7 linked regions of the Callithrix jacchus genome follow. The protein of the gene in region 3 interacts with the protein of the main gene of each other region in a pairwise test. Links are inferred from orthologs where the notes say so. Each region holds a gene or a part of one and is shown on either strand. Other genes may lie near its edges.

Region 1 (2,907 bases), on a different chromosome or scaffold from region 3:
GGGGAATATAAAAGGTTATTAGAGAATGTAGAATCTGTAGGGATGAGGATCTGCATCAATATTGGTGACTACTTAGAAAATGAAGAAAGAGAAGAGCCCAAAGTGGCTCCGTGGTTCATTTAAAGAATAGTTTGTCAGACGTGAAAAAGTGGTAAGTTAAACAGAGTGAGGCCTATCTGCAGACCCAGTGGTTACTATTTTTCTTTCCTCTTAGGTGCATCATTTCATGGAACTATGTTGGGATAAGTGTGTGGAGAAGCCAGGGAATCGCCTAGATTCTCGAACTGAAAACTGTCTCTCCAGCTGTGTAGACCGCTTCATTGACACCACTCTTGCCATCACCAGTCGGTTTGCCCAGATTGTACAGAAAGGAGGGCAGTAGGCTATCCCCCAGGAGAATGACAGAAGCAAAGGACTTGTTATTAAGCAGACTGAAGGGCCAGTAGGGGAAGGTTGGCTGTTATCAAGTCTGCTGGTGCTAAAAAGTAAAAGATGAAATGTTCAAAGAGTGAAATTTATTTATTTGGAATTCAGAAATTCCAGGCTATATCACATCAGTTATTCAATAATGTGAATTCTCCAACTATTCTTTTAATCCCATTTTAGAATATAGAGATCTCTGATTGGCAGGAATACTAGAAATAAATGCTCCATGGCCAGCAGTGCAAATGGGGGATTGTAGGTTTTGAAAAGCCACCCTAGGCCATATTAAGGGGGTTGGAAGAAGCATCAAAGCCTAAGGCATAGAAAATTTGGGGTTGAGAAAGATGAAGAACAAAAAACAGCTTTATTGCTTATACATGACCAAGAAAAGATTAACATGGCAAAAAAAAAAAATGCAAGATGTGTATTCCTTGCTACCATGGGAGGAAGGGAAGGTCAGGAACCAAATAGAGCCAATTTCCTGGAGATGACCTGTTCTATTGGCCCATCTTCCTGAATCCGTGCTTAAAATCAGTACTTTCAGAGCACAGAAACAATGCATGCTAAAAAATATATGGCCAAAGCTCCTTCTAACAAAGCTTTAACTTGCTCCAGGAACAAAATAATTGTTTTAGGTTAAGAGGTAGTAATTATAGACTATTCCCCTCCCTTTAGGCCCCCACTAATCCCAAAAATAAAAATACACACCATGGAACATTGACAATTGAGTACCAAAGTATTAAAATTTCAAATAAATATCCCAAAAGGTAGCACCTGCTCATAGTTAAGGGATAGGGCACCTCTGTCCAACCATGTATGTTAAGACCAAGCACTTTATTAGAAATCTGTCCCATAAAGAGGACAAATTTAGTAGTTAGAACTAAAAATACCACCTCATGGAATGTCATCATAGTTGTATCTACTGCTGGTGTCTTATACTGTCATGCTACCATGAATTAACTCTGTATTACACACCAGGAAATTGTAAGGCCAGGAAGGTGAATTTACCTGCTCTGGGCCTCCTCATAACCAATTAGTGGCAGAACCAAAATCAAAAGTCTGAGTTTTCAAGCTTTTTACTCGGCCCATTAAGTGACAATCAGGAAAAAATAACATGTCACTTGATCTTTCTTCCCATAGTGAAAAAATGCACTTGTGTTCTGCGAGCCTTCTTTCAGTGACATTTTGGCTTCTTAAGAATTAACATACTAAGTATCACAGTATAGCAAAGGGAAATAACGTGGTCTCTGCTTGGTGCTTTAATCCAAAGGCAGACTGGGAAGAAGTGGGTATGTCCCTGAGAAGCCTGTTTCATTTTGGAAATAATTCAACTTAGTTTCAGGGAAAACCTAAAGTTCATTAATAAGATAATGTTTAAATGGCAGTTGCTGCCCTGAATCCAGAGTACCATTAGACAACATGACTATTTCCTATTTCTTCCCCATTTGGTAAAGGATTTATCTGTGACAACTGAAGAAATAATTTGAACACAAGTCCATTTAGGCAAATATACAGCAATGGAGCTAGAAAACCATTTACTATCCAATTACAATGTTTAGGGGTATACTAAGTACAGCTGTAGGCCCCGTCCAGCAGGGAAATTTGAGGAAACTGTAGTCTCTTCTAGTAAGTTGTCTACGGATGTTACCATGAAAGGAAAACGTTTGTTCTTAGGCCCATTTCCTGATTAAGTAAACTGGACCATACCTGTAGGGTCAAAATACAGAAGGATCGAAGCACCAAGGCTAAAGACAAGTCAGTTGTGATACCTGCTATATAAACAAAGAGCAATATAGTGTTGCCTTGTCATACCATCCTACACAGCATTAGTTCCAATCCACCTCTTGATCCCAGCCCTTGACTTCCCCAAATTCAATATTCCAATTGGTGTACCCAGGTTACCACTGGATCCAGCTTTCTGGGTCCTTTAATTTGCTGTATATGTGTGCTATACTAAATGTGATTAACTGCAAAAAATAATCTCTTCAAGAAACCTTCATAACAAAATACCAGATGCCCTTTTAACAAGAAAAGGGGATCAAGCTTAACGCCGGACTAGAAGACAAGAAGTCTGTCGGAACATACAGATGGCACAAGACAGCTCTGACCTCTGGCCCCCGTGCTGAACAAGAGTCACCTGCAAAACCACAAGGAGTAAGAACTGTAAATATCCACAGTCATGTGGAAAACAAAAATGTTTCCCATTTAGTCATCCTCTGAGCTCTCAGCAGACCTTTCATCTGTAGCCACTTTCCAATTTGTGCGTTTGTTTGTCCTCTCTTGTATTTCATTGTTGGCTACAGGGCTATGGACTTTTTTCTCTCTCTTTTTCCTTTTGGTTCTTTTAGTGTCTCTTTCCTCACTTTCCTCAGAACTGCTGGATGCTGAATCATCTGAATGGGAAGTGTTACTTTCTGCCTCTAAGAATAAAGCAGGTTTCTTGAGAGACTTTTTCCTGGATTTTTTCTTGCGCTTATGCGGTTG
Region 2 (3,206 bases), on a different chromosome or scaffold from region 3:
AAAACAGGGCATCCAGTCTGGATAAAGGTGCCAAACTAAATGCAGCAGGATGATATTTTGAGATACCTGACTTTGTTCTTTCTGCTCTGGAATTTCACTCCCTGGCCCTGCCCTCTGCCTGCAGCCAAGTTCATTGCCCCAGGAGAGGAAAGTGAGAGCAGAAATCTGGAACAAAGGACTATGGAAGAAAAAAAAATTACAGGTGAGTCATCTAAAAAGCAATAAAGTAATAGTAATATGAATAATGATTGTGTATAGTTTTAAAACATCCTGATAAATCAATCTCATTCTGATTCTGAAATTTAGGTGAGACTGGAATGTAGATGGAACTAGGAACAGGGACAAATAGACCTTATCACAGCAAAGAGGCTACTACCTAGAAAGAAGTGTTGATACCCAAAGCATAATGTTAAAGTAACCAAGGACAGAGAAACCCAACTGATCCATCCCATCTACAATTAAACTAAGGAGAAAATTACTTGAGCTCTTTCTAGAGAATGTTAAGTAAACAGATTTTATTCAATCTTTCCTAGAGTTTATAATGAATACCTGTTATTTAATATGGTAGTTACATTACAGTTTTTATCTCATGAGTGATAGAACATTTGGTGAATCAGATTAACAAACCGAAAATGATGATACTGTCTAAGACACTCTCTGGAGGCACACCAGTCCCACTGACTCATTTTACTAATTCAAGTTGGCATCCAACTGATTTGTAGAATGTGTTATCCTGAGGTTTCTGCATTTATACCACCTGAAGAGGGTCCCTGTCAGTCTCTGATAGGATAATATTTATCTTATTCTCCAAGTGAGAGCCCAGCATATCTCGAAGGTCAGAAAGAAAGCCTCGTTCAGTGTTGCTATGTTCACAGAGGATGACATTTATTCCTTGGGAAGCAGCATCCAAAATATCATGATGGGACATCTCACCTACCAAAAAGGAAAGAACAAATTCTCAAATGCTAGATATGGAATCTGTGGAATGAAGAACCACAAAAACAGAAATACCAAGTTTGTATTCTATATAAGGTGAATGTACAGTTTTCTTTTATGTCCTCCAACTTAAAAAGAGAGAAAAGTCTGGGTGCAGTGGCTCACACCTATAATCCCAGCACTTTGGGAGACCTAGGCAGGTGGATCACCTGAGCTAAGGAGTTCCAGATAAGCCTGGTTAACATGGTGAAACTCCATCTTAAAAACACAAAAATTAGCTGGGCGTGGTGGCGCATGACTGTAATCCCAGCTACTCAGGAGGCTGAGGCAGGAGAATCCCTTCAGTCCAGGGACTGGAGGTTGCAGTGAGCCAAGATCACATCACTACACTTCAGCGGTGACAGAGCAAGACTGTGTCTCGAAAAAATAATAAAATAAAAATAAAAGCCATCCCATTGAGAATTGCAACTTCTTTTTCCTTGGCAGACCCCAAGGCAATTATCCAATACAACATATCTCGCCAGAACCAGATCTGCAAACACCTATTCAAAGTGTTTCCACAATAAAATGAATGACCACTACTAAGTAAAATGAGGCCTTCAGAAAATTTGCCTCTTATGTACGTAATAAATACCTCTGAAGGAAATTCTGTGTATACTGCCCAGCAGACTCTTATGCTTTGTAAGCACCAATATTTCTATCATCAACTTAGTCTAATATATAAGAATGAAATGAATTTAAGATTATTTCCAAATTAAATACAAAGTATTTTTCTTTGACTAAGCAAAATCCCTAGAAACTCTGGAGGGAATCTCATCTGTTGTGAAAAGATTTGGGGAAAACGCAAATATTCTGAATTTTTAATTTATTTATATATTTATTTAGACAAAGTTTTGCTCTGTCGCCCAGGCTGGAGTGCAGTAGCACAATCTCGGCTCACTGCAACCTTTGCCTCCTGGGTTCAAGTGATTCTCCTGCCTCAGCTTCTCGAGTAGCTGGGATTATAGGCACCCACCACCACACCCAGCTAATTTTTGTATTTTTAGTAGAGAGAGGGTTTTGCCTGGTGACAAAGCAAGACTGTCTCAAAAAAATATATATATAGTAAAAGTAAAAAGCAAGAAAAAGACACTAAGATGGCCCAGTTGGAAGCCTTGTTTCCAACTAGGAAAGATAAATCTGGCTCTCTGTACTGTGACAAACTCACTGGCTGGATAAGGCATAAAAAGGGGGAAATCAGTGAAGACCCTGAAATACTAGCTGAAGCCAAAGGAAAGAAAAGCTTGGCCCAGGATGGCAGCTTGGAAAAGCAGCAGCAAATGGAGAATGAAGACAAAAGAGAATTTACATTTGCAAGGAGCAGGATCCCCATCTGCTGGTCTTGCAGGGTATTAACCCTTAACGACCTAATACAATGAGAACACTGCCTCAGGCTCAGAGGAAGGGTGATGAAGTTCAGAAGTCCTTTAGGTAGGGCTGCACATCCCTGAAGTTATACTCAAAAGCGATGCCTCACAGACCAGAGACAGCTAATGCTAGCCAGATAATATATTTTCTATTTCTCCCCACAGCCAGATAGGAAAGACATTTTAACATTTTGGAACTGTTTGAATTTATCTTATGCACATATCATTATACTTTATCATTTTTAAAAAAACTAGTTTTTAAAACAGTATTTATGAGAAAATAATCAGATACCCCAAATTGAGAGAGAAGCACAAAACAAAGAGCCTATACTCTTTTTTTTTTCTTTTCCTTGAGACAGAGTCTCACTCTGTTGCCCAGGCTGGAATGCAGTGGTGTAATCCTGGCTCACTTCAACCTCCACCTTCTGGGTTCAAGCAATTCTCCTGCCTCTGCCTCCCAGACAGCCAGAATTACAGGTGTGCACCACCACACCCAGCTAATTTTTGTATTTTTAGTAGAGATGGGGTTTCACCACATTAGCCAGGCTGATGTCGAACTCCTGACCTCAGGTGATCCGCCCACCTCGGCCTCCCAATATGTTGGCATAACAGGCATAAGCGACTGCGCTCAGCCTAAGTAGCCAATACTCTTTAAAAATGTCAATGCTATTGAAGACAAAGGTGAGGAACTATTTCATATTGAAAGTGACTAAAGAGAGATAACAACTAAATGCAATGAGAGATCATGGACTGGATATGGATCAGAAAAAGAAATGCTATAAATTCTTATCAATTGGGAAAATGTGAATATGGACTGTATATCAACTGTTTTAATAGTATTAAATTCCCACATTTGATAACTGT
Region 3 (4,292 bases):
AGCGAATATGCAATGTAAATGGGGTGAGCGCAGAGCCACAAAACTGCACAGTCAGCATCTGGCTCTGTGAGTGAGTGATAATTAGCACTGTGTGTAGACACTAATAAACATTTATGTCTGAAATTACAACTTTTAGCAATGTTAATAAGGGATATATTGGCAATCTGTAAAATAAAAGGTCTTGAAAAGAATGTCATACATTAAGCCACGGCAGACATTTCCCGTTCCTCAACAATTTCCTTTTTTCCCCCTAATTGCAAATGGCCACGATGTTTTGCTGAGAAATTAATTGACACAGGAACCTACCTAAAAAAATGGGTTGTGTCTCTTTGGCCTCCCCATTAACATCGCTGCTGAATTCTGGGATCTTATATACCTCATGGTGATAATCTGGCATGAGAAAACAACCAAAAATTAGCCTCCTAATGACTTCAAGACAGGCATAAGCAGTCAAGTCTAGACTCTCATTCTATTTAGTATGTATAATCTATAATTTTTAAATAAACTTTTTGAGAAGTCAATTATCACAGAATTTGTACTCAATAATAATTCCTAAAACGTGCTTATTCTGGAGTACGAAAACTTGGAAAATTACTTTGACTAGAGAAAACGGCTTGGCATGATCACATCATTTTCACGGTAAATTGTGCCCACAGCTGCCAATTTTTAGGCTTCTTTTCTTTGAGGTGACAAGTATGTTTACAAGGAAAAGAAATATCTCGCCCAATCATAGAGCAGGGGAGGTTTCCAAATTTCTCCTCACAACCCATTTTCACCAGTATATCAACAGTATGCTTTAAAGTTAGACAGCACTGCAGTTTTCTCAGTTTACCCAGCAAACCTCAGCCTTTAAGCAGCTTAAAGGCAAGCACACATGTTTCGTTATTTCAAATGTATAGCATAATTTGGATAAGAAAGCAAGATTTTCATCTTTCACACAAATGACTCTTTCGCATTCAAGCTACTGTACTTTATTTAATATGCAATACTTTATTTTCTAAAACCACACCTGCAGAGAGAGAAGAATCAGACCCATAATTTGCCAAAAAAAAAAAAAAAAAAAAAAAAAGAAGGAAAGAAAAAAGGAAAAACTTGCTATGTCAGTCAAAGTTTAAAATACAACACTTTACAAGCTTCTCTATGGAGGCTACTGCACTTTGGCTTCCATTTTTGATAAGTAGGGTTACCTAGAAATAAAAATAGAGTTTCCTCCTTAATACCTACTCCCCTTCCTTTGGCCTTAGACCTCACAGGACAAGGTCAACAAAACTACTCTCACTTTTAAGATAAAGCAGTTAAGTTCTCTGCGGTCAACAAGAAGCAGCAGCCTACCTTCCTGAATGTATCAGATAGCAGCACTAACAGGGCAGTCACCCAGACAGAGACTTTTAAAAGTCCAAGTAACTGAGTAATCAACACGGATGTGGAAAAAAAAAAATTTACTCAGAAAGTGGGAAGAGCCAAGTATTTTGAATGAGTGAAACGATTTCAGGCCTCTTTCATTAAACAGTATCCAAACTAAATTAGGGGAAAGAGATAAGAATAGATCTTCAAAATGCCTATAATCAAACCATTTTCATCACGAACCAAATCCACATCTTAGCTAGCTTAACTCAGTTTGAAAAATTCGATTACTTGCAATTGTCCACAATTTTTCACTAATTTTCATCAGTTTACACGTGACTTTGGCAGTTGTTGAAGAGTTTCTACTCTGATGCCATGCTAGAGAAAACGACAGAGGAAAAGTGGACAGGTTCTATGGCTTTGACCTCAACTTGATTCAAAGACGACATTTAAACAGAGCGAGTGTAAACTCAATATGAGGACTGGTGACATTACAATGAGAAAAGTCATCTGCCCCTAATTAAAGATGACAATGCATTTTGAGACATATTTTCACGATGGCTCTTACCTTAACATTTTTTAAAAAAGTGAAATCAGGAAGATGAAGACACTTAACAAGTAACCGAACACAAGACTGTATTCCACTTTCCCCTCCCTGACCAAATAAAAACCCAAGAGTGTGGTGTACACCTGTTAATTCATCAGGAACTAGCTGGATGTCTTTTCTTTCCTTTCTTTTTTTTTTTTTTTTTTTTTTTTTAAGGATACTTATCTGACTGCTACGTGATAGTGTAAAACACCTTTCCAACCCAAATCAGCTAGCTAGAGATGTTGGATGACAATAATTACACCTTGGGCTTGGACACCGCATGAGCTTCTTTCTCCTTCTTAAAAAGAACAACAACGGGCATCCTTTTTCCTCCTCTTGGCGGGGGGAAGGGGTTAGACCCCAGAAAACAAAAACAGCAAATCTCAGGTCCGAGGGTCCACGCTCGGCCTGATGGCCAGGCAGGTCCGCGGCCGCCCCGGCCCAGCCCCGGAGGCGCCCCGAGGAGGGCTCTGCCCCCCGGTGTCATTGTTTGCTAATTTCCTGAGCTGCCCTCCGACTTGTTTACGTTAAATAACACCCCACCTCCCCCCGCGCAACTTTCCCCGCCGCCCGGCGTGTGCGGCCGCGGCCCTGCCCGCCAGCTCGGCGGAGGCACCGGGCGAGCGGGGAGGACCGGGGGCTCCGGGAGGGCGCGCCCACCGGCGTGGACCCCCGCGGGCGGCCGAGGGCGCGGCGCCCGCAGCCTGCCCCCGCCGCCCGGGCGGCCGCTTACCTCGGCTCACCAGTTTGAAGCTCTGGGATTTCCTGCTTCTTTTCCTCTCGGAGAACTCCATGGTGCGGGGAAGGCGGCGGCGGCGGCTGAGGCGGCGGCGGCGCGGGCTCGTGTCACCGCCGCGAAGCCGCCGGGACCAAGGTCCGCGCCTGGAGTCGGCGGGGGGAGGCCGCGGGACGGGAGGAACCACCGCGAGCCCGCTCGGGGCTGCTGGCGCGGGGCCCGGCGGCGCGGGCTCCCGGGTGAAGTTGCCCCCGCGCGGCGCCGCCTCCAGTGCCCTAGGCGCCCCCGCGGCCCCCGCTCATGCCGGCCCGCGGGTTCCAGACGCCGCCCGCCGCAGCCCAACTTTCCGTTGGGAGCGGGCCGGGCGGGGGCGCGGCGGCGGCGGCGGCGGCGGCGGCGGCGGGGGCGCGGGGGCGCGGGGGCGGGCGGCTCGGGGCGGCCGGCCCGCCTGGGCTCAGCCTGCGGACGCGGTGGCGGCGGCGGCCCCGGGGACGCGGCGGGCGGGCGGGCGGGCTGCGGGGAGGGCGGCGGCGGGTGCGGAGCCGGCCGGGGCGCTGACCGCCCCCGCGGGAGGAGGGGCGCCGGCGGAGGGGGCGGCGCCGCCGGGACCCCGGGGCCACCTGCTGGCGGAGCCCGGCCGCCGCCATCCCCGGGGGCCGCCGCCGCCGCGGGCCTGGTCGTGCGGCGCCCCGAGGAGGCGCGGAGGCCGCGGCGCAGCGCCCCGGCCGGGGCCCGACCGGCCTGCCTGCCCCCGGGGACGCCGCCGCCCGGGCCTCCGCTCGCAGACCCCGCTGGCCGGCCTCCCTCCGCCGCCGCTGGGCCGAGCTCCTCTGAGCACCTCGCGGTGGGTGCGCGGACCGCCCGGCAGCCACCTCCCCGCCCTCGCATCCCGGGCGCCCCGGGGCCCGACGCGCTGATTTTAGGCAAGTTTTAGGGGGGAAAACTTACCCATCTGCGCTCTCTCTGCATGGACAGGAGGTTTGAGAATATTGTGGAGAAGAGTACAGTGGAGAGAGCGCCCGTGTCCTAACCCAGGCTGGGCGGACTGTGGCAAGAGCCGAGGCACATTGAAGGAGAGCACTTGGAATGGGGGGCCTGGAGAGGGTGGAAGGGCGGAGGGGGCCTGGTGGCCCTGGGGACTCTCAGGAGGCCATGGTCAAGGCTGGTGCAGGGCCCTCTGCCTCTCCAGGTCATAAGTCGAAATCATGGACCTAAACACAAAGCGCTTATTCGTTTTGTGTAATATGCCTCTCAGGGTGCAGCGAGAGCACCCCAGGCACCATTTCTTCCTCACATCTTTGGAGTGGGCCCGGAAAAGAATTTGACACCACCTGGGAATGGCAGGGTAGGAACGTGATGGGACATGCGTGAAAGTATCCGCCAAACCCAACCAGGAAGAGGATAAAGAGTCTGGGCGGGGGGCCAACTCTCCAGCACGGGACAAAGGCTGGGGGCCCCAAAAGAGAAGAGAGGAAAAAGGGGAGGTTGACAAATGTAATGGAGTGTCACCATGGGTCCCACCCAAATGAGGCGGCCGCTGAGGGGCCGCTCTTATTTCAGGGACACAGAGCAGGATGACTGCTGAGGAAGGGGGACATTGAGGCAGCTTGCAGAAACACACAT
Region 4 (4,167 bases), on a different chromosome or scaffold from region 3:
TAGAAAATAAAACTAATTTAGAATTCTTAAACATCTATTTCTTTCTTTTTTTTTTTCTGGAGACAAAGTCTCACAGTCTCACTCTGTCACCCAGGCTGGAGTGCAATGTCATGGTCTCAGCTCATTGCAACTTCTGCTTCCCGGGTTCAAGACATTCTTCTGCCTCAGCTTCCCGAATAGCTGGGACTACAGATGCATGCTGCCGCGCCCGGCTAATTTTTTGTATTTTTTAGTAGAGACGGGGTTTCACTATGTTGCCCAGACTGGTATCAAATTCCTGAACTCAGGCAATCCGCCCACGTTGGCCTCCCAAAATGCTAGGATTACAGGAATGAGCCACTGCGTTCCGCCTTAAGAACCTGTTTCATTATGGAAAACCTCAGATACACAAAAGTAGAGAGAATGGTACAATGAGCCCTGGTGTACCATTATCCAGTTTCAATTATTACCAACTCAGGGACAATCTTGTTTCATCTACACCTCCACATACTTTTCCTCTGACCCTCTTTGAGTTATTCTAGGGGGGAAAAGAAATTTACAGGTTATTTTATTAAACAAAGACATTCCCTTCTCCCAAGGGAGAGATGAAAATTAATGCCTCATCATCCATAATAAGTTGCTTTTTTAGGGTTGTGAGGATCAAAAGTAATAGCATATGAAAAAGAATAGTGATGAGGTCTCACCATGCTGCCCAGCCTGGTCTCAAACTCCTGGGCTCAAGCTATCTGCCTGCCTCGGCCTCCCAAAGTACTGGGATTATAGTGTCAGCCACCACTCTTGGCCAGTTCCACAGCTTTAACCAAGACACTTCTGTAGATGTTCGGAGCAGACAACTGTATCTCCAAAATTTATCCTACTCATGTTTCTAAATTGCAGTTAAGAGTACAACACGAATAGCCATCTTAATTCACATTCACACCTGCCTCAAACTGCAGGCCAGGTGCACACATGAACTATATGATAAATTCCACCTTGCCCTTCACCAGAAGAAAACATCAACTTAGTAAACTGTTCAGGAAATGATGTTCTTATCTCATTCCCAATCTCCTCTCTCTGAAAGTGCTGGATCTGTCAGTAGGAAGCATAGTAATGGCATGGCAAGTGACCACACAAAGATGGAATTTCATTATCTAAGACGCCCTCTTCACGTGTGTTGAGTCACATCTATTAGGTCCTCTGACAAAAACAAGTCCTAACAACAGCGTTAGTGCCACGGAAACCAGAAGTTCATGAATCACGGAGGGATGCTCTGTCAGCCAATTCCTAACTGCCAAATCTTCACCCAGGACATAGGGTGGAAGTGCACTCGCTCAACAGAGTCTATAATCTGTAGAAAAAGGTCCGGCGTAATGACTATTTCGGCATTCCTTGCGCCTGCTCTCTTCTGCTTCCAAACATAGACCAATCTTTAACCTACCCCAGGCTCACGAACTCTAATTTGACCAAGGAACTTGGTCTGGAGGAAAAGCCAGGGTGGTAAAGGTAACCTCAAAAGAGATCCAAGTCAAAGGAAGCACAGAAAGGAGATGGAAAAAGACTCTGATGAGGACAGAGAGGTTGCCAATTCTTTGGCCGTAGAGCGGACAAAGCACAGTATCTGGGTGTCCAGGACCAGGTCGGAGGAGGAAAACAGGGAAGAGAATGGATTCGGAGGGAGTGGATGAGGCTCACAGCAAACAAGAACTGTCTTTTAAATGTGGGGAACCCTGATGGGAGCATCGGAAAGGAGGAAGAGGGGTGTCGAGGGGGAAGAAGTGGACCTGGATAAGAAAGGTTTGCCTGGTGAAGGAGGGGAAGGTTTGCCTTAGGGGCGAGGTGGGGGTCGGGGAGGGATGGAAATGGAAAGAGGCCAATGACCTTTGGAACTAGTGTTTGAGACTATGAGGTAGAAGAATAGAAGGGGGTGACGAAGATTTGGGAGAAATAATCTGGGTAAAAGAAGGAACAAATCGAAGTACGAAAGGATTTGGGGTTCGAGAGAAGGTAACTGACGCTGGCAGGGGGTTCCCTGGAATCTGAAGGGCTGAGGGAAGAAAGGAAGGAGTAGGGGTTGATATGTGGCGCCTGGAGCGGCCGAAGGGAACTGTGGGGAGCGCTGACTTACAACGAATCGTGTGGAAGGAGGCCCGCGGCCGCTTCTCGAAGCTCTCCCCAAGCCGCAGGCAATGTTCCTCGCGGTCCAGCAGCGGGTTCGCGGTCCCGTTCATGGTTCCGCACCGACCTCGCACCCGGATCGGCGCTCTCCTGGCACAGCCGCGACCCGAGCTTCCGGCGTTGGCGTCTGGAAGGACGCTGCTCCTGGGAGGACACCGCTCTGAAGCGCAAGGAAAGCCGAGCCGGCGCCCACAGGGGTTCGCAAGCAAGCCTTCTTCTCTGTCTCGGGGTGGAGGAAGAACCTGAGGCAGTAAGGCCGCGGGACTTCCGACGTTGGGTAGGAACTTCCGGGTTCCCAGCGGAAGTGGCGGGGGCGGTGCCATGACAAAAGAACTCCTCCCGGAGAATCCCACTGCGAGGTCCTCAGGATTGGCTCAGAGTTGTGCCGCGACGCCTCCCATATTCTGCCTCCGAAACTTGAAGCTGGGTGTGGGGTGAGTGCTCCTGGCCCTACCCCTACAGTTGAATTTAGGAACTGATGACAGTAACCCCTGAGCGTGGCTGACTAGATACGCGGGTCGGCTAGTCATTAAGGGCGCCCCTCCTCAGGGTCTAGGGCCCCACGTGGCCTAGTTTATCCTGAGTGTCCTGAGGTGGATCCGCGGGACCTCAGCCACGCGTCACTGGGTCTCTTCCTCCTGTTCGCGCGGTGATAGCGGTGCGAGAGCCTCAGTCCCTGGAAAGTGACGCCCCCTCTGGTCCGCACGACAGCCTCTTGTGAGTGCGATCAGGAACGGAGCCCCCCCGCCAGGCTTCGCTTCATTTCCCCCGAAAAAACGGAGCTCCGACCCTTGGGAAACGGGGAACTCACTTGTATCTGGCAATTGACCACCCGCTTCCAGCTAAGGCCATTGTGGTTTTAAAGTTACCCCTTTCATGGGCACCAAAAATTGAGGAGTATTTTCTCCACAAGGTTTCTCAGTCAGTTCGTGAGAGGGCCTTTTTCTAAACTAAATCGATTTATTGTAACAGTTGTCTCATCTGGTTTGAATAAAAGTATGGTGCATAAGATAGTCCTGGCCACTGAATGAATGTATCTTCTCTGAAGTATGGACTGTGTCTTGATCTTCTTTGTGACCTCACCTATAGCGGGCAGGATCTTTTTTTGTACAGTCGGCATCTCATAAATATTTGTGAATTGAACCTGCCGTCTTGCACTGTTCTAGAACCACTAACCAGAATCTCATTCTTTTTTCTGCGAAGCAACTCACCTGAGGAAATGCATCTGACTCATTAGCATGGATTTATATTGTTTGGGGATGGAGAATCTTCAGCTGCCTTAAGTTTCTGTTACCGTCAGTTTCTGAGATGGCTTCTTTGCAAAGGAAAGGGCTGCAGGCAAGGATTCTCAGCTCTGAAGAAGAGGAGAAACTGAAAAGAGACCAAACTTTGGTGTCTGATTTTAAACAGCAAAAATTGGAACAAGAGGCTCAGAAAAACTGGGATCTTTTTTACAAAAGAAATAGCACTAATTTCTTCAAAGATAGACACTGGACCACCAGAGAGTTTAAGGAGCTAAGATCATGTAGAGAGGTAAGCTAATATTACACCTTATCTGAGCTGTTTTTCATTTAAAATGTGAAAAGGTGTGCTTTATTGCAATCTTAGGGAGAGTGTGAAGTAGAAAATTTAAGAAACCTATCCAAAAGCTTTGCATTTTGGGAGAAAAATATACTTTTTGGTCTTAACACCAAAGTTTTCTCATTTTTTGGTTTGGTTAACACATAGGAGAGAGAACTTTAGAGGGTGTTTTCTGTTTCTTTAAGCTGATCTGATAGTTGTAAACATTAAATATTAAATTCAAGAGCTAGATATGGTGGCTGTCGCCCAGCTACTCCAGAGGCTCTGGCAGGCAACTTGTGCCTGTGTGAATTAGCCAAGCCTGGGCAGCATAGTGAGACCCTGTGTTCTAAATTTTAAAAAATTTAAACATTAGAATTTAAAAAGAACAAAAATATAAATCCATACTGAGTGACTTCAGTGACAAAGTCAAAATAATGATAATAATAATAA
Region 5 (4,002 bases), on a different chromosome or scaffold from region 3:
ATCCAGCCCTCTCCTAAATCCCATGGTGAGAGTATTACCACCTACTTTACAGATGGGAAAACTGAGGCTCAGGAGCTAGGTAACCAGTCTGAGGTCTCGAAGGCTCTGACCTGGAGCCTCTGCTCTTGAACCACCCTGTTCTGACTCTCCAGGTCTTTCCCCTTCCTGCTCTGAACTGGATACCATGCTATAGCCAGGGGCCATTCTGACTGTGCCCTGGTCCCAAACTAACCACCTCTCCCTGGGCCGTAGAGCCCAAGGACTTGGCTGGCTCCCAGTGCCAAAAGTCTCTTTTTTTTTTCTTGTTTTTGGACAGGATCTCTGTCACCCAGGCTGGAATTCAGTGGCGCAATCATAGCTCACTGCACCATCAACCTCTTGAACTCAAGTCATCCTCCCTCTTCAGCCTCCCAAGTAGCTGGGACTACAAGCATATGCACCACACCTGGCTAATTTTTCTATTTTTTTTAGAGATGGCATTTCACCTTGTTGCTCAAGCTGGTCTTGAACTCCTGGGCATGGGTGATCTGCCCACGCTGGCCTGCCAAAGTGCTGGGGTAACAGGCATGAACCATGGCACCCAGCCCAAAAGTCTTAATTTAACCACTGCCAGCCAGATCACCTGAGGTCAGGAGTTTGAGACTGGCCTAGCCAACACGGTGAAACCCTGTCTCTACTAAAAATACAAACACTTTTAGCCAGGTGCGGTGGCAGGCGCTCGCAATCCTAGATACTCAGGAGGCTGAGGCAGGAGAATTGCTGGAACTCAGGAGGCGGAGGTTGCAGTGAGCCGAGATCATGCCACTGCACTCCAGCCTGGGCGACAGAGGGAGATTCCATCTAAAACAATAATAAGAAGAAGTAACCAAACTCATTCATGATGGACTCCCTGTGTGTTCAGTTTCCAGTTACCACGTTTCCCACCCTCACATCAAAGCCACCACTTCCTCCACTGTCCACAGACCGGCAAAAGTTTCTCCCCTTACCCTGGGCCAGGAGATCAGCTTCTAGAGAACCACAGCCAGTCCAATCCCTCACTTCATGGGCTCCACCCTAGCAGGATTGACAGACTTCTCCAGCACGAAATGAACTCAACACTGCCCTGCATCTCCCAAGCAACTTCCACCTTCCCAGCCCTATGGCTCCAATACACTCCTTTCAGCTCCAACACTGACCTGACCCTCTTCAGTGGGCTTGCCCCCTCTCCCAACACCTCAAGTGGTCAAACTTCTTCAGTTCTCTCACCTGCTAATAGCCAGCAACTCTAGCTCCTGACTTGATAACATCCTCTCATTCTTTTTTTTTCTTTGAGGCAGAGTTTTGCTCTTGTCACCCAGGCTGGAGTGCAATGTTGTGATAGCTCACGGCAACCTCTGCCTCCCAGGTTTAAGCCATTCTCCCTGCCTCAGCCTCCCAAGTAGCTGGGATTACAGGGCACACCATCATGCCCCAGGCGATTTTTATATTTTGAGTAGAGACAGGGTTTCCCCACGTTGGCCAGGCTGCTTTTGAACTCCTGACCTCAAGTGATCAACCTGCCTCGGCCTCCCAAAGTGCTAGGATTATGGGAATGAGCCAATGCATCCAGTATTGGCTCATTCTTTCTCAGGAAGGAACAAGAAGACCCTTCCACAGTCATGCCCCAAACATCCTCTGCTCCTGAACGACTGACAGCCTTCCTTCTGCCGTTGGCTTTTCTTAACACCACACTGCAGCTGGAGGCAGTGGTTCACGCCTGTAATCCCAACATTCTGGGAGGCCAAGGCGGGAGGCTCGCTTGAATCCAGAAGTTCAAGACCAGCCTGGGCAACATAATGAGATATCATCACAATAAAAAGAAAAAACAACACTGCCTCTGACTCCCTTACCTAACCACAAATTGACCACCAGCCCTGCTCCTCTTCTGGGAGCTTACCAAGTTCTCCACAGTCACAGTTCAGGTTTATATTCTTCCTCTTTCCAGCCAAGAAAGTGACCAACACGATCACTCCCTGCCCCGAGGCTTGCAGACCAGCAACTTAACCTCTTTTTAGCCTCAGAGACCCAGCAAACTCTTACAACTGCCCTTTCAGGGCCAGTGTTGACCTGCTCCTCCTCCCTTTACTGCTCTCGCTCTCCTTTTCTGGTAGAACTACGAACGCAAAGGCTGCCACCCTCCCCATCTGACAAACCACCAAACTTTATTTAATGCTCATCGTTTTAAACCCTAAAACGATCACCTCCTTTGTCTCGGGTGGGTGGGGTGCGGCAGAAACCAGATACTTTTCACCTTCCCAACTCCACGGCCACCTTCTAACAGCCTCCGACTCTAAACTGACGACTGTCCCCTTAATTAGCCATTAGGTGCAATCTATTGAACGCCACCTCTGAACGGGGCTCTGCACCGATCCCTCCCGACCCCCGGGTCCCCCTCGAGCCCGCCCCCGCTTCTCCCGCAGTAGCTACCATGTCTCCAGGGGTCTTTGGGCTCCACTGCACCAGACACGATATCCTCGTCGGACGGGAACGTGACGCGCTTGGCTGCAGCCTTGAGGCGCCCATCCGCGGGGGGCGAGGCAGGGCTGGGAGACCCGGCCTCAACGGGGGCCTCTTCAACGTCGTCGTCTGCGCCCGGCCCGGGCGGAGCCTCCTGCGGCGGGATCTCCATAGCCGCCGCCGGCTCCTCCTCACGGGGGCCCCGGGGACATGCCCCGGGCCCCGGACTTGTCTCTCCCGGCCCGCCCGCCGTCCCGGGGCATGGGCTCCGCCACTGCTTCAGGCGCCGCCTCCGTCCGCTCTCCTCGTCGTCGTAGTCGTCGCCGCCGGGAGCCCAAGCGCGCCTCCGCCGAGCCCCGCGCGCGCCTGCCCGTTCGCAGTCACACTTTCGCTCGAGGCTGGCGAGCCCGTCGCTTACTAAAAGACGCAGAAAACCGATTTAAGTGACTTGCAGGTCGAGTTGTCCCGCAGGTGACATGAAGAGGGAAACAAAAGGCAGAAAGGGCCACGGAAAAAAAAAACGTGAGCAGCGAATCTGCAGAGCCGGAACTGCAGACCATGGGGGCGGGGCGAAGTAGACGCCGTCTCCAAGAGCAGCGCGCAAGCGCGAAGCTAAGCCCACGCCTCCCCGCCTGAGTCCAGATAACGAATATCAGCTCCGCACATTCGTCAAGAGCCCAGGGAATGGAGTGGATAGAAATGAAAATATCTGATGGTTCGCGGCGGCGGCTCATGCCTATAATCCCAGCACTTTGGGAGGCTGAGGCAGGAAGATCGCTTGAGTCCTAGAGTTCGAGACCAGCCTGGGCAACATAGCGAGGCCCCGTCTACAAAAATATTTTAAAATTTGCAGGGTCTGGTGTCGGGCGCCTGTAGTTCCAGCTGCTTAGGAGGTGGGAGAATCGCTTGAGCCCAGGAGGTTGAGGCTGCACGGAGCTAGGATCCCGCCCCTGCACTCCAGCCTGGGAGACTGAGCAAGACCCGGGAAAAGGCTCGCTCAACAAAAGGAAATAAATATAAACATGGAGGTTAGACTGATGAAGAGTGGGTAACGGCATGAAGAAGTCGAAACAAAAGGCAGATAGGAACTGCATTCAATATACAAGTACAGTTGATGGATGCTGACAGATAGGGATCCTCTGGAGACAAAGCCTCGGCCCCTTGGCTAGTCACCGCAGTTAACATCAACAGCTCTCTGTACCTAGGTAGAGTTGCATAAAATACAACTTAAATTACAATGCTAAAATAAATAGGAGCCCATGAGCAGTATCATGGGCGATTTTTAAAAACTAAACCTAGGAGAAGGTAGATACTCCAAAGGCCAACCCAAATCCTGAGTGACAAGGCCGGTGGGTCACCGAGGCAAGAACGAACTAGGGCGAGCTCAAGCCACACCCTCCGGCTCAGGCCCAACGGTTGACATTCGCCGCCGCACTTTCGCCACGCTTTCCCTAGCGCACCCGGCAACCCGGGAGAGGCGGGGCTGAAACCATAAAAGGAAACTGGGGCGGAGCGAGCCGCGTCGTT
Region 6 (3,500 bases), on a different chromosome or scaffold from region 3:
TAGTTAACAAGGGCCGGCTGCTGTTGCTGCGTCTGTGGTTGTGGTGGCTGCTGCTGCTGCTGCTGCTGCTGCTGCTGTTGCTGCTGCTGTTGCTGTTGCTGTTGCTGCTGCTGCTGCTGCTGTTGTTGCTGCATGCCAGGCAACGTCCTTTTCCCCTGGACTGCAAGCTGCAGCGTTTCAGGGAGGGGCTGGCCTCGGGCCAGCATTTTGTAAGCTAAAATCTGAGCTCGAAGCTGATGCAGCTGGACGGGACTGAAAGGTGAGGGACCTCTGTTGGGTTGGCTCATGGCCTGTGAATCACCCGGGATGAGGGGCCCTGGCTGGCTTGGTGGCATCTGAGGTGGAGTTGGGCCACCTCCAGACATCGGGCTGGAGACGTGCTCTGGGGCTCCCAGCGGAGATGGGTGCGGCGACAGATAACCTAAAGTAAAAAAACACAAAAGGAAATCACAGGCTGCCCTGACAACCCCGAAAGAGAGATATCCCAGAGTACTCTAATAATTGTCTACAACACTGTCTGATAGAAATTAAAATAACATATAATTAATTATATCTATAATTTATTAAGTATATGTAGTTTAAAATTTTAGTATATTAATGTGCTTTATATATATGTAAAATTTAAAATTTTCTAGTAGCTACTTTAAAAGGTTAAAAAAACAGGTGAAGTTAATTTAAATAATATATTTTATTTAAACCAACATATCTAAAACATCATTTTAAAATGTAAAAATTGTTGGTAAGATAATCTACATTTTTTTATACTAAGTCTTTGAAATCCACGAAATATTTTGCACTTAAAGCACAATTCAAACTAATCACACTTCAAGTGATCAATAGCCACACGTGTCTTAGAAGGGAAACTATTAGTGGCTGTTGTTCACCTAAAAGAAAGGCACCAGGGGACAGCACTGTATGGTAAAAGTAGCTCCAACTGGGAGAACAAAACCTGATGGCGCCTGATATCTCTCAATGCGGAATAAAGAATGTCTTATGTGGAGAGCGAACACTTGGTTTATTATTATACATGTTACGAATAACTTGCAATTACTGAATGCCTACATGTTGTAGGCACTATGCAAGGAGTTGACTGCACTCAACTCTCACCGTTGGGTTCTTCCTAGAGGCAGAGCCTCATTTAAGGATTGATTACAGGTAATTACTGGGAAGATGCAGGGACACCAACAGGCATACAAAAAGGTAATATGAGGAAGGGAAAGCAGGCAATAAGGGGGATATCATCAAGCCAGCTGCTGTAGTAGGTGCCTCAAGATTAATTCAGTGCAGAAACTCTGGAATATATGGTAAATAACTTGCCTCCAAATTATTCCAGGAAAGGGGTAAAGAAGTTGGGGTATTTATCCTCCCACAATCAGCAGTCACTTGTTAAGTCACTAGTTATGACTAATGCTCTAGAGGTTATTATCATCCAGGGACTTTGCCATATGTGGGAAAGGTAGGTGTCAGTAGATGGAAGTAACCAAGATGGTGGTTTTGGGCACAGGAAATCAGGCTGGTGGGGTTATAGAAATCATGAGGAATCAAGAAGATATGGGTAGAACATACATTATTTCTTTAATCCTTAAAACAACCGTAAAAGATATATACTGTTACCACATTTTTTCAAATGAGAAAAATGAGGCTCAGAGAGTAAACCAGTTACCCAAAGTCACACAATTAACTTATGGCAGCTCCAAGATTTAAACCAAGGTCCAATTTCAATGCATGTGCCCTTTCCATGATCTAATATAAATTTGGTTATATGAAAATAAGTTAGGAACTTGAAAGTTTCAAAAAACCTTCTAGAGGCACTTATTACATAAAAGTGAGAGTAAACTGTTTGGTTTATAAGAGATCTAAATGGGAAATTTAAGAAATTTATTTTGGGGAAGAAAAGAATCAAAATGCACAAAAAACTTCAAGGGACTTATTTCAGGAGATGACCTGCCTAACTTGGCCATAGAATTCCTAGAAAAACATACAGCTGAGCATTGTTGGAGGGAGATCCAAGATGAAGGAGAGAACAAACTGGCCTACAGCAATCCAAAGGTGGCCTAGAGTTGAAACAAAGTGCCAATCAAGTCAAAGGTATCCCAGGACACAGCATTACATACATAGATGAAAAGTCTCTGCCCTTTTATAAATGTAATCATGTCACAGTTCTCACAAAGGTCATCGCGTGTTTACTAAATTCCTGCCACGTGCTTGAACCTATGACAAGTTGAACTGAAAGAGCTCTGTGCATCTGCAGAAATCACAGAGGTCTGAGAATATATAACCACCACCAACTGGGGATTCAGCATCATAATTCACGAGACCAAAGAAAATAAAAGATTCCATTACTTTTATCTCCAATTGTCATTTGAAGAGGGAGACAAATTTGGTGTGATCCCCTAAACCAAGAATGGGTTTTGCTCCATTAACTGGTGAGAAGTAGAACTCTATTCAGGGAAATCCTGCCCTAAAGGGAAATAGAAGAATTGCTCAATTTCATTCCACAAATCCCTGCTCCATGAGGAAGCACCAACACCATGCAGTGATGAGGGTTTGAGTTGGTTATATAAATTAACCAGGAAAATTCCCTTGAAAGCCTGCAAGACTAGCAGAAATTTAAATCCCAACATGTTGTTATCATAATAATGAACACTTAGAGAATTAACAGACACTTAACTTCAGCATTAACATTCTTCTTCTTTAATAAGGCTTACATTAACCCCTTAATTGCAATGCTAATACAAAATGGTAGCCTGTTCATTAGGACTTCTTTCTGGCCCTGAGACTACCACAGGTGGAAAATCTTTCCACCAAAGCTACTAACATTTTCACAGTAGTAGAGATACTACCAGAGGTTAAAATGAGTCATATGATTCCTGATTTTTGGTCTTTCCTATTTCCTAGGGTCATCCATTACAAGCTCACTCATAGCAAATCATAATACACCTAATACAATGAACCGAAATATTAGGCAATCTAGTATAAATTCAACTGTATAACACTATTTATTAAATCACCCTTTTAAAGTATGAACAAGGCGACATTATGAAGGTGAGACAGATTAAGCATAAGAATTCAAACCCTGAGAAAAAAGAACCTGGTCTGCATGGCTTTAGTGTCCAAAAAACTGGTTAAAAAAAAAAAGAGAGAACCTGGTCACTGGAAAGTCAATACCAAAAAAATTCTTACCTCAAATTTGATCAGAAGAAATTGGAAGTGAGAAGATTATTTCCCCGATTTTGCAGGAGACGTGAACAGAATCATTCTGCCACAGTATGGTATTAAAAATAGAGATTTTTATTTCTGCATGAATAGCATCCCATAAAACTTGAAGAAAAACAGAATCTAAGTGATACAACAAAATCACATATTTTGGTAATTATCTTTAGTTGAAAAAACGAGTTAAGAAATTGCCTGAAAGTGAATATACATTCGTCTGCAGGATGACAGTGTTGATGCAGATTCTGCTCTTGCAGAATCTTGTTTGATTTGCTCATTTGAAAGTA
Region 7 (3,500 bases), on a different chromosome or scaffold from region 3:
GTTCTTTGCGATACTGAATTTTACTGCTTCCTTCAACTCTGCAATTAAGAATATGAAATATTAAAACAGGTATGACAGCAATGTAACAAAAATTTCAACTTACAAAGTTACTAAAATCAACCACTTATTCTTTTCCTAAACATCTTTAGAATAATATCCAAAATTAAAACATTAATTTAGTTCATCATTTAACAAGTATTTGTCAGGTTCTGTTTCTGTGATACACATGTCCATTGAGGGATACAAATGAGAACAAAAACAAAACCCGTGCCAGGCTTGGTGGCTCATGCCTGTAATCCCAGCATGTTGGAAGGCTGAAGTAGGAGGATTACTTGACCCAAGGAATTCAAGACCAGCCTGGTCAATACAGTGAGACCCTGTCAATACAAAAAATAAAGTAAAATAAAAATATTGGCTGGGCATAATGATGCATTCCTGTAATCCCAGCTACTTAGGAGGCTGTGGGAGGATCATTTGAGCCCAGCAGTTTGAAGCTGTAATAAGCTATAATTACACCACTGTACTCCAGCCTGGGTGACAGAGTGAGACCTGTCTCAAAAAACAAAAACAAAAATCCAGGCTGGTACAGTGGCTCACGCCTGTAATCCCAGCACTTTGGGAGGCCGAGAAAGGAGAATGGCCTGAGGTCAGGAGTTCATGACCAGCCTGGGCAATATAGCAAGACCCTATCTCTATTTAAAAATAAATAAAACAACAACTAAAGAATAAAGCCATTGCTTAAATTGAACAGATAAGGCATTCACAAATGACTAAAATAAAAGGAAAAACACAAGTGTATAACAGGTACAATATATTCCCTAAGTTCTAAGATTATTATTTCTGTTAAAACTAAATCACTTCTACATTTTCCATTCATAACTTAAGATAGACATAATAAAGGAGATTCATATACATTTCTCTCAACATCTTTAAGAAGAGTATATAACAAAAGTATGCTTGATTTTTGCCTCTCCCATTTCCAGTCACCAAATCCTATCAGTTCTTCCTACAAACAATCTTCAGACCCTCATTTTTTCTTCATTCCTGCTCTCAAAACTCCTGGTTTATACGTTTTTCTGATTCCTACATTGTTGTCATTTATTCAGTTTCTCTACTGAATTAACGTTTTAAAACAAACTGTAAACATGCCAATCCCTGGTTAAAAAGACTTTAATATGTAACCACTACCAGCAAGATAATGTCCTAATTTCTTAGTTAATATTGATGGCATTAACCTCAACCAACAAAGTTACAACCTTACCTCTAGCCCAATATCAACATCGCCCCCTACTTTCTAAAACATGTACACAGGTACAGAGATAAACCTCTGCTCTGTTCAAATAGGTCTTACTGGCCCTGAATAAGTCAGATATATTTCTGCCTTCAAACTTGGCTTACATCGTCTTCTCCTTTCTACTCAATTAAGCTGGAATTTCACAAACCTTCTTCTAGTATGAATCACAGCAGGGCATGAGTGGTAAAGGTGAGGAGATATTAAAAAATAGAGTTTCCCAGGATCCTTCCCTGACTTAAGGTTAGATTTGGGAATTAATTTTTAACAAGCACCCAAGGTAATTCTTACGATCCCAACCTCCTCTTAAGGTACATCAAAAATGTCTCCCTGAATGTTCCAATCTACCATTACTTCTCCTTTTTCTTAATTCCTAGAGCAACTTTTGTCTATACTATTTGCATGGCTTTTAGAGCAAATATCATTATATTACATGGCAAGTAATGTGTTACCTATTTCCAAAAAGGATTTGAGATGAGTATATTCTCCTATTGACTTTTTAAATGGAATAGTCTGTTTATCTGATTAAAATGCAGAAGTTTTGAGGTGTTTGCATAGCAAACTTTCCTTTTTCTAGTACCTTACACATTATAGGTATTTGATAAATATTTATTAATGAAGATGAAATTATTTTAGAGAATGTATAATGGCTCTTTTCAATCCAGTTATATGAAAGTATCTACAACAGAATAAAAAGTATAACTATACCTATAGAAAGCATTTAGAAGCAAAACAAGCTTTTATATATCACAGGATGATGTGGTAAAAAGCTTTTGGCTTAGAATCTCCACCAAATTTAAACTTAGAAAAAGATTAAAACGTTTTTGTAGCACACAGAAATAACCCCCTTGTATAATAATGTTACTTAATACAGTCAATTTTTCTTAACATTTCCTTAGAAGTTTATGTTTATAATATAATTTATTTCATTAAACCACATACCTTGTTTTTTTTACAGTGATGTTGCTGCTGAGTTTTTCTAGTCGACATTCTCCAGTATCATGGTTAATAATCAAAATGCATTCTTTTAAGTAAGGTTTTTTTGAACCTTTGAAAACAGTTACTGGTGGAGTTGAACCCTGTTTAAAAAGTTAATTATTATTACTGAAAATTTACCATAGGAATTCAGTTGGGAGGGCCTTTGAAATCTTGATACTGTGTTTCTCCTTCTATGTTATACTTCAAGTCACCTATAAACGACCTAAATTTACTACCCTGGATCCAAAAAGAGTGTAGTAAAAAATACAGCTGAAGATAGGCTGAAATCTCAAAGGTGCTATCATTGAGGAAAGGGAAGAGAGGAGGTACTCACCTTGGGCCAGTGAAGATTTGTTTCACTGGCCTATAATGAGCAATTGAGATTCAATTTGAATATAACTAAACCAATGTATTTTATAAGGAAATAGAGCCTTGAATCATATTTTCTATGCCTCTTCTTTTTTTCTTTCTTTCTTTTTTTTTTTTTGAGACAGTCTCACTCCATTGCCCAGTCTGGAGTACAGTGTCACAATCTGAGCTCACTGCAACCTCCACCACCCGGGTTCAAGTGATTCTCCTGCCTCAGCCTCCAGAGTAGCTGGGACCACCATGCCCAGATAAAATTTTGTATTTTTAGAAGAGATGGGGTTTTACAATGTTGGTCAGGCTGGTCTCAAACTCTTGACCTCAAGTGATCACCCACCTCAGTCTCCCAAAGTGTTGTGATTACAGGTGTGAGCTACCGCATCCGCCCTCCTCTTCTTCCTTCTTATTGCTTTGTAAGTTTAATTTTTTTAAATCTGGCATTTTCTTAATGTAGCACCTCCCTATGCAGATTAAGCAACACCTCTTACACTGAACCCACTAATTAATTTTAGCATAATTAAAAGTGAGATAAGCAGACATTATGTGCTTAATGAGGTAATATGAAAGTACACAGCATCATCCATAAAATACTCTTGCCAAAAACCACACAAAAGCCCCAAAGAATTTAATTCTTATCAAACCCCAAAGAATATATAGTCCAGCCTGCCCTTAGAAATATAACTACCAGTTTACAGAAAACAGGAGGAATAGAGGAACAAGTTAAATATATCCAGATGGAAGTAATTTGAAGTCCAGAATGTAGATATATTCTCTAAGACAGATAAAACAGTTTTTCCAGCAAACCAATGGCATGAAAAAGGGAAGAGAGCCAAGTGCAAATATTGGAGTACATAAGTGGAGGATG

What was found.
Region 1: the proteins of BEND7 (region 3) and NKAPD1 interact in binary tests that used the Homo sapiens proteins (3 or more experiments, as listed by UniProt). The two-hybrid records come from large-scale screens. The link is inferred for Callithrix jacchus from reciprocal best matches to the Homo sapiens genes BEND7 and NKAPD1.
Region 2: the proteins of BEND7 (region 3) and NIF3L1 interact in binary tests that used the Homo sapiens proteins (3 or more experiments, as listed by UniProt). The two-hybrid records come from large-scale screens. The link is inferred for Callithrix jacchus from reciprocal best matches to the Homo sapiens genes BEND7 and NIF3L1.
Region 4: the proteins of BEND7 (region 3) and EAF1 interact in binary tests that used the Homo sapiens proteins (3 or more experiments, as listed by UniProt). The two-hybrid records come from large-scale screens. The link is inferred for Callithrix jacchus from reciprocal best matches to the Homo sapiens genes BEND7 and EAF1.
Region 5: the proteins of BEND7 (region 3) and PPP1R37 interact in binary tests that used the Homo sapiens proteins (3 or more experiments, as listed by UniProt). The two-hybrid records come from large-scale screens. The link is inferred for Callithrix jacchus from reciprocal best matches to the Homo sapiens genes BEND7 and PPP1R37.
Region 6: the proteins of BEND7 (region 3) and SMARCA2 interact in binary tests that used the Homo sapiens proteins (3 or more experiments, as listed by UniProt). The two-hybrid records come from large-scale screens. The link is inferred for Callithrix jacchus from reciprocal best matches to the Homo sapiens genes BEND7 and SMARCA2.
Region 7: the proteins of BEND7 (region 3) and EAF2 interact in binary tests that used the Homo sapiens proteins (3 or more experiments, as listed by UniProt). The two-hybrid records come from large-scale screens. The link is inferred for Callithrix jacchus from reciprocal best matches to the Homo sapiens genes BEND7 and EAF2.

The regions. Positions count from the first base shown.
Region 1 is NC_133511.1:11,787,919-11,790,825, reverse strand, and holds the end of NKAPD1 (uncharacterized protein NKAPD1), read right to left. Parts: coding exon 2,629-2,907; 3' UTR 501-2,628; downstream 1-500. Other genes in the region: TIMM8B (mitochondrial import inner membrane translocase subunit Tim8 B), read left to right, coding at 215-382.
Region 2 is NC_133507.1:122,013,311-122,016,516, reverse strand, and holds the end of NIF3L1 (NIF3-like protein 1), read right to left. Parts: intron 934-3,206; coding exon 749-933; 3' UTR 501-748; downstream 1-500. UniProt on the Homo sapiens protein: May function as a transcriptional corepressor through its interaction with COPS2, negatively regulating the expression of genes involved in neuronal differentiation.
Region 3 is NC_133508.1:14,517,168-14,521,459, forward strand, and holds the start of BEND7 (BEN domain-containing protein 7), read right to left. Parts: upstream 2,801-4,292; 5' UTR 2,728-2,800; coding exon 2,667-2,727; exon of another isoform or gene 2,485-2,666; intron 2,381-2,484; exon of another isoform or gene 2,216-2,380; coding exon of another isoform or gene 2,194-2,215; intron 391-2,193; coding exon 307-390; intron 1-306.
Region 4 is NC_133518.1:54,229,290-54,233,456, reverse strand, and holds the start of EAF1 (ELL-associated factor 1), read right to left. Parts: upstream 2,801-4,167; 5' UTR 2,478-2,800; coding exon 2,105-2,477; intron 1-2,104. Other genes in the region: tRNA N(3)-cytidine methyltransferase METTL6, read left to right, coding at 3,463-3,687. UniProt on the Homo sapiens protein: Acts as a transcriptional transactivator of ELL and ELL2 elongation activities.
Region 5 is NC_133523.1:39,285,965-39,289,966, reverse strand, and holds the start of PPP1R37 (protein phosphatase 1 regulatory subunit 37), read right to left. Parts: upstream 2,801-4,002; 5' UTR 2,648-2,800; coding exon 2,446-2,647; intron 1-2,445. UniProt on the Homo sapiens protein: Inhibits phosphatase activity of protein phosphatase 1 (PP1) complexes.
Region 6 is NC_133502.1:108,514,011-108,517,510, reverse strand, and holds part of SMARCA2 (SWI/SNF-related matrix-associated actin-dependent regulator of chromatin subfamily A member 2), read right to left. Parts: intron 422-3,500; coding exon 1-421. UniProt on the Homo sapiens protein: ATPase involved in transcriptional activation and repression of select genes by chromatin remodeling (alteration of DNA-nucleosome topology).
Region 7 is NC_133516.1:81,051,658-81,055,157, forward strand, and holds part of EAF2 (ELL-associated factor 2), read right to left. Parts: intron 2,371-3,500; coding exon 2,234-2,370; intron 39-2,233; coding exon 1-38. UniProt on the Homo sapiens protein: Acts as a transcriptional transactivator of TCEA1 elongation activity. Acts as a transcriptional transactivator of ELL and ELL2 elongation activities. Potent inducer of apoptosis in prostatic and non-prostatic cell lines.